Linked DNA regions of Danio rerio. The protein of the gene in region 2 interacts with the protein of the main gene of each other region in a pairwise test. Links are inferred from orthologs where the notes say so. Each region holds a gene or a part of one and is shown on either strand. Other genes may lie near its edges. The genes, in order: fundc1 and tufm.

Region 1 (3,742 bases), on a different chromosome or scaffold from region 2:
ATTGGATCATTGGAGGATAGGCATCGCTAACAAAATGATGGAAGACTGATAAGTAGACAAAAGTAGGGTTATTGCTAGATCACATACGGTTGTGGCCGGAAGTAAACAAGAATTATTTATATTATGTATTAAATTTCCCATTTATTGTTTTTCATTAACATCTACCCCTACTGTCACAGTAACATGAAAACAGTAGTTGTACAGGGTATTTTATTAATGTCTACTATTAATTACTGTTATAAAGTTTTACAAAAATGATGCTATATTGATGTGCATACCCGCAGCTGTAACCCATCTACTTTGCCCAAAATAGAACAGAAATGAGACACGCCCTGATAGTCCCGCCCTAAAGGCAATCCATATGACCAAAAGTAAAGAAAAGTCATTTCGAGGGGGCAGAGAAGGTTATAGTGTTGGATAAAACATAATAAGGGCAAATTATTTTTTACAAAATAATGAAGTGCACATTAATAACAAGCACTATAAAAATATAAAACTAGAAAAGCTAATTCTGATTTAATGCCGACTTTAGAACTTAGGAACAAACAAACAAACCAAAAAGTACAAATAGTCTATACATAACCAGAAAGACTTTTTATTATTTCCACAACATTATTTTTATCTTTACGTCAAAACAATTCATGCATTTTGACAATATATTAGGGAAATGATACATCTACCTCAAATAATGTACCGTCAAAAGCAAAATACAATATGAAACACTTCAGTAGTTGTACATGTAACAAATGAATGCATTATCACTAATTAAAATAAAATGAACAAAATAAAAGCCACAATTTTCTATAAAGTTATTGGCACAATATATCTCTCTCCTGCAGGATGTTTTAGCTATTGTATAACATTGTAGAGGAACATATTAAAAAAGTCCAGCAAATGTCCATTGCACTCACTGCTTCTGAACAAACAACATGTTTCAGTGCTGTATCACTGTGATACCAAGATAAGGGACAATATTACTGTACTCATATCAGAGGCAATACAGTACATCCAGGTTTCATTTAGGATGCCAGGCCTAGCAGAAATCCTCCAACAAATCCTCCTGAGATAACAATATTCCTCTTCACAAACTCTGTAGACTGTAGAACAAAATGTAGGTTAAGCGAAGTGTCATAACAGCTAATAGATAGTATATGAAATTATGACAAGCATATGAAAGTATACCCACATCTTCTATAAAGGTATTGAGCTCAGGAGCAGCTTTTTTGGCATTTTTCTTCAAATGCTTTTTAGCTTTATTGACATCCTTTTCCACTTTCCTCCAGTCCACCTGCACATAGCCACTATGATTGGCAATCTGAAATAAGAAAATAGATGATTAACAAATTAAATGTCATTGAGCATAACATATACTAATTAAAAGCATAACTTAATTTTAAGAACTCATACTTGTAACAAAAGAAATCCTCCTCCAACAGCAGTAGCCACAAGCTTTCCAACTCTCTGAAAGAGATATCCAGCACACCTAGAGAAGGACATTTTTTTATTATTTATAACAATCAGGAATATTAAGGGTTTTATTAGAAATTAAAGCATTCACATGAACACTAACCATCCGGACACTCCACCCATCATGATTTGTGAAGCCACAGAGTATTTTTCTGCAATGGGACCTGTGCTGTTACCAAATACTCGACTCCACCATTGATGCCTCCTGGCATAATCTGTGATGTTGACCACTTCATACAATTCATCTTCACTCTCTGCATCTACAAGTGAAAACATTAACCACAGTCGTTACAAACGAATACTGTAATTCTATGTTTGTTCTCTGATGACAAACATGATCCAGCTTTGTAAACACTGAATATACGAATTTTCAACCATTAAGGTTCACGTCCTTTGACATTTCAAATTAATACGATGTGATTACACTAATTTGTTTGCATTAATAAGTGTCAATGAATTTACCAGCACGCGAATGGAAAGACGAATGAGAATGAAAACAGTATGGTTGAATTTAGCTGCGTTGTATCTGTATAGACTGAACGGCTGCTGGCAAAATAAACGAAACCTATGCTGCTCTTCTACGGTGTAAACACTCGGAATCTTGTTGCACGCGATAAATCCGGTGAAACAAACACGCTGCCAATCGAGACTATTCATTCAAATGTTTGGTTAGCCAATTTATTTACCTTCGCCGCGATCCGCCATTTTATGAGGCTGCGTTCACGACGCTCGCAACCGCGGAAGCTCTTACGTAAAATGCTGCGCAGTTTGCGTGCGATAATCACTCTTCGATTCCAAATTTGCGTATATGTGGTATTCACTAAATACTTCACAAAGTCCGTAGAGTGTAATGGTGCAATCTCAGTATATAAAATACTGTCTACCATCAGAACCAGAAAGCATTTTACATGTTTCTGTGTATACTCCACTACTAAGGGGAAGCTCAGGTCTGTAAGATTTTCAAAGCTCAAAGACGCCTAGCATATTTAAATAACAGAACTCTCTGTCTTTTTACTTTTGTGTTTTTTTTTGTCCATAATTTTAACACAGCGTTTTTACATTTACTGCTTTCAAACATTTTAAACACTATAACAGTTGTTTACATAATTAAAATATAAATAATAGCATTAAATAATAATTTTTATAATTTTCTAAATATTTCATATTCTAGCCTATACAACTTTCAGGGTGTTGAAAGAAAGAAAGAAAGAAAGAAAGAAAGAAAGAAAGAAAGAAAACAATGACAGCAAAAATGGATGATAGAAGATAGGATGGAGAGTATTTTTATTATTAATTAACAAAACGTTCTCTCTTTAACGTTACTCTTGTGCGTTTTGTGCAGAATTTAAGTGTACAGAGTTTTTACATTTACTGCTTTCAAACATTTAAAACACTAATAATAGTTGTATACATAATTAAAACATTGATAACAACAACCATCAAATAATAATTTTAATATTTTTACAGATATTTCATATTCTATACAACTTTTGGGATGTTGAAGAAAGAGTGAAAGAAGTTAAAAAAGACAGTATTTTTATTATGAGAAACATTACAGCAATACAGACAAGGATAAATACAGTACACCATCATATGCAGTACAGTACAATAAAGTATTATTGACCCTTTGATGCACAAGCTATAAAATAGATATAGAAAAATGTAAAAAAATAAACTTAGACGGGTCACTTTAGACCCATGTAGCGCATGAAAGGGTTAAATAAATAAATAATAAATTCACTGGGTAAATGTATGTTCTTAAAGAATTTGGATCCATGTGCTGTACTTTGAAAAATCAAAGAAAGAGGCAGGGTCAAAATAAACTTAACAGCCATGGAATATAAAAAAAAATGTTAATAATAATAATTATATATATATATATATATATATATATATATATATATATATATATATATATATATATTCTGACTAAGACGAAAAGAAAATGAATGAATATATTTTTAGTAGTTTCTTTAGATTATGAAGCCATAAATTCTATGATTTTATTTATTTTTTATTATTATTATTTTTTTTATTAAACAACAGCAAATATACAATTTAAACATGACATCCGAATAATTCATTTATTTATTTTTTTTGGCTTAGTCCCTTTATTAATCTGGGGTCGTCATAGCGGAATGAACTGCCAACTTATCCAGCATATGCTTTATGCAGCGGATGCCCTTCCAGCTGCAACCCATCATTGGGAAATACCCATACACTCTCATTCACACACATACACTACGCACAAATTAGCTTTCTCAATTCACCGGTA
Region 2 (4,561 bases):
AGCACATTTTCCCTCCAAGTACAATACTTAAGATCTCGCCTTATTGGAGAGAATAAATGGAGGATGTTGCATATAATCCCTTAAACATGTCTTTTATAACAATTTACTGTGGTCATGTCATGGTCAGAAACAGCTTTACAGACAATAATAGATAAAACCGATAAAAAATAAAAATAAAAAAAAGCGGTGGGAAAAATGACTAACAAAGCCATTTAGAAACATCACAAATGAGGGGAAAGTAATTCAACATGTCTCAATGAAGAAAAAATTTGGCGCGCATATTTGATGCATAAGATGTTAAAATGCACACCTATAAATACATATTTGTTTATTGCAATTAGTACAATACAAAAAGGTATATTATTAAATACTCAAGTAAAAAAAATGTGTATATTTATTATATGTATTTTTTTCAATCAGGTTTTAGTGAACTTGCAATAATGTTAAAAACACACAGAGCCTCTTGTGATCTGTTCTCTTGCTAATACACACTCGTCTCCATGGTTTTCGGGGTAGTTTATACAATGCATGGGTGTCACTTCCTCTACGTGTAAACCCGTAAACAACAACTGTGATCGATTCATGAGATCGGAGAGTACCGATCGAGTCATAAAATGTAATTATCGGCCGATACCAATCTCTGAACAATCAATTGGAGCATCCCTTATATGAAATAAAGCTGAAAGTGTACCTTTGGTGATGGCGGCGGTCAGTGTGGTTTTGCCGTGGTCAACATGTCCAATAGTGCCGATGTTCAAATGGGGTTTATCACGAGCAAAAACCTTCTTCGCTTCTGCAGCGAAATTCCTTCGACTTAGAGGAACTGCACACTAGGGTCAAAAAAATTAAATAAATAAATAAACATGAGGCTATTTTTTCAAATATCTCCAGTGGAAATGTCACAGGGTGCCTACAGAGTTTAACAAGTTAAATTGAAAACATTTTTAAAGGCCTTTCTAAGACTGACTTATAAGACATTTAAGATCATCAGATTTGCAATGAAAATACTCATGCATATCAGGGCTAAACGCTAAGGATTTAAAAAAATAAATACTGACCAGGGACTAAACTTTGGATTGAAACCTTCCTGAGTATGAAATATGAATGTATGCAAGAATAAATTTGTATTTATTTATTTATTAATGATCATGCTCATATGAGGATTTAAAATAGGTCCACGGATTCATAAATGATAAAAAAAAAAAACACTTTGCATTGTTTTGCTTCTGTTAGTTGTGTTATTGATTTTTGTAGGAACATGATGTTTATGTCAGACACACATTTTAATTTTTACTTGCAATTTGACTAGATGGCTTAACTAAAAAAATGTTGTTCTGTCTAATAATAATAATAATAATAATAATAATAATAATAATAATAGTAATTGTAAATAGTTTTTGGGTCTGTCAGGCTGAAGAAATAGTTTTAGCCAAAATATTTTTTAAATATCTTCTCAAATCTAAATTCAAGGCTTTTAAAGACTTTTTTTTATCCTTTCTATAAAGAAAACTTTTTATTTTGTTTTTACATTTAGATTTTTAAAAAATTCAGATATGAGTGAAACAATTTCCAATTTCCATTCAGTATTCTATAAATATTCACACAAAATACTAACCATATATAAAAGAGTAAGTAATCAAAACATTATATTATATAGTATATTTTAATATTAGATGATTAAAACACTTGTTGCTAACAAATAGGTTAAAATCAAGTGCTTGGAAAAATAGTAGCAAAATATAAATAGATTTAAAATGACAATTAATGAGTATTTTAAGGCTGCATTGTGATAAACAGTCTTTAAATGTGTTATCAAATGATTCTTGTTGCATAATTTGCCTGACAAGATTCCTTTGACCCACTTTAACCCAACCGATAAAGATTGAATTTGGACAAACGTCAAGTTTAAGTATATAAAGCATTTAAGTTGAATTTTATTTGACAGATTTTAAACAAAAGAAAAAGAATCCCATACATTTTGAAATAAAACCATGGAGGATAAAAAGGTATAAAGCCCTGGACTTCCATTGTGGACTTGGCTGTTAAAAAACAAAAACAAAGTATGGCTAATTTGTCACAAATATTTTGCACAATTATTTCGGAGTTTACAATATCTAACTTATCTTCTTTTCCTTCGATATTAACAAATAATAATTGCTAATCCATGACAGATAATAATGCATTTAATAACATACTAATAAAAACAAAAAAAAAAAACTTAAAAAACTGAAACTCATACCAGCTTAAACGAGCTGTGAAGTAAACTTGGAGAGGTCAACTGAAGAGCTGGAAAACAAACAAAAAAAGCTTAAATGTAATACAGAAATCATCATTCATTCATTCATTCATAAACACGAGTCAGGAAATATACTGTATAATATATAAATATACTGTGCTAATGCAAACAATGGAATACATAGACTATTAAATCTGCTTAAAAATATGTTATCATCACATTAATAAACAGAGGACAACTTAAAATATTACAAGCGTCAAAGTCGCTATATTATGAACAACTGTCAAAAACATCACGAGACCGAATCACTCCTCATCTGTTTCCCGTAAGTATGATCTTCACACAATACAAATATTTAACTATCATATAAATATTGTGATAGATCTTACGCTTTAATGTCAATAATGCCACTCAATCTGTACGATATATATAAGTCACAGCCTGAGGAACGTGACCTTGCTTGGGGAAACACACGAGCATCCTTCATGTTTTCACAGTAACTGCCATTTCCACACTCTCATCGGCATTTGCACAAATATTACACATATTTCGCAGATTATTCGCTGCATGAACATAGTGTCAGTGGCACGAGAAAGGTAAAATAAGCGAATTTTATAACTTACCGGAGAGGCACGCGCGGACGCTAACGAGCGCAGCCATTTTGCGGACTGTGACAAGTGCGCATGCGCGGAGAAATACACATACGCCATCAACACTGGACGCACTGGACACGTTTTTTAATCTTACAGTAAATCATCTAAATTGTACGTTACTACTCCAAATGTAATTATTTGTTATATACATTTTTTTATGTATGCTTTATAAGAAGCCTTGTCATTTTTATACAGATTTTAAATTCATAAATGTAAATCACAAGCCAACATTTGTACAAGAGATGAGTGTACTAGGTACACCTAATAAGAAAGCACTCAAAACATATACAGGTACTATTTTCATGACCTTTAATATGTATACTCTATTAAATCTCTAAATTTCTGAAAATATAACATTATCTTCTTATTTTGCTCAATTTCTTTATGTATTAAATAACTATCCTCAGATTAAATAGCCTATTAAATTTTTTGTGTTCTGTTTTATTTCTGTTGTGTTTTTTCCTCATATTTTTTCTTCTTTTTCATTCTTTATTGGCACCATTATAAATAATCTAGTAATTCATTCATTCATTTATTTTCAACCGATTTTCCGGGGCCAGATCGCAGGAACAGTCTCAGGAGAGAACCCCAGACTTTCCTCTCCCCAGACACTTCCTCCTGCTCCTCCAGGGGGATCCCGAGGCGTTCCCAGGCCAGCCATATAGTCCTTCCAGTGTGTCCTGGGTCTTCCCTGAGGCCTCCTCCTGGTGGGACATGCCTGGAACGCCTCCAGGAAGGCTTCAAGGAGGCATCCTAAACAGATGCACAAGCCACCTCAGCTGACTTCTCTCGATGTGGAGGAGCAGCGGCTCTCAGGTAACAGAGCTAATGATCTAATTATTAAAGTATTGTAAATGATATGTACCAAATGTAACTTTGTGTTATACAATAAATGTTCAAAAAAACTGTAAATTACTTTTAAATATGGGTTCTGTGTATATTAAATCCTTATAAAATGTTTATTTTATACACTATAAACCTTAATAAGAGGTTGTGAAAGAACTATGCAAGGAGGGCATTTATTAATGTTTTCATTGTGCATTGGTAAATTACAATTACATGAAAAACAGGCATCAAAAACAAAAGTTCCAAAGCAATGGCGAAATGGGTAGCATGATCGCCTTACAGCAAGAAGGTCGGTGGTTCAAGCCTCGGCTTGGCATTTCTGTGTCGAGTTTGCATGTTCTCTCGATGTTCGTGTGGGTTTCCTCCGAGTGCAAGTTTCTTTGCGAGGATGGCATATAATCATTACGGTAAAATTCATGACGTCATATCACATCGACGGCATGTGCACGCGCGCCGCTGTCTAGCAGCAGGTAGAATCTGGAAGCTTCTGGATCCGCAGTGGTGTGTTTATAATAACGGAGCTGAACTGAACTCAAGTGTAACATTATTTACACTGCGGGGAAACTTGACACACGTCCAAGTAACGTCTGCTACTACTGCTAAATCGGACACACAGCATTTAAAAAGGTAAGTCTTGTTTGTCTAACTCGTGTTTACATTTTGTACATGAAGTAAGTTAGCGCGTGCTTCAGTTTCTTTGCGTTTTCATGTATTGGATGTGTGAGTTGGGTAATAAAAATAAGTTAATATGCCAATAAAATGATCTGTAATGACATCTGATAGTGAAATCAAAGTAAGATACCTTAATGTGATGTGTATATATTTG

What was found.
Region 1: the proteins of tufm (region 2) and fundc1 interact in binary tests that used the Homo sapiens proteins (3 or more experiments, as listed by UniProt). The two-hybrid records come from large-scale screens. The link is inferred for Danio rerio from reciprocal best matches to the Homo sapiens genes TUFM and FUNDC1.

What each region holds. Positions count from the first base shown.
Region 1 is NC_133184.1:35,473,557-35,477,298, forward strand, and holds fundc1 (FUN14 domain-containing protein 1), read right to left. Parts: upstream 2,213-3,742; 5' UTR 2,173-2,212; coding exon 2,154-2,172; intron 1,728-2,153; coding exon 1,571-1,727; intron 1,484-1,570; coding exon 1,408-1,483; intron 1,316-1,407; coding exon 1,187-1,315; intron 1,098-1,186; coding exon 1,020-1,097; 3' UTR 571-1,019; downstream 1-570. UniProt on the Homo sapiens protein: Integral mitochondrial outer-membrane protein that mediates the formation of mitochondria-associated endoplasmic reticulum membranes (MAMs).
Region 2 is NC_133178.1:12,128,934-12,133,494, forward strand, and holds the start of tufm (elongation factor Tu, mitochondrial), read right to left. Parts: upstream 2,918-4,561; 5' UTR 2,897-2,917; coding exon 2,860-2,896; intron 2,287-2,859; coding exon 2,240-2,286; intron 831-2,239; coding exon 692-830; intron 1-691. UniProt on the Homo sapiens protein: GTP hydrolase that promotes the GTP-dependent binding of aminoacyl-tRNA to the A-site of ribosomes during protein biosynthesis. Also plays a role in the regulation of autophagy and innate immunity.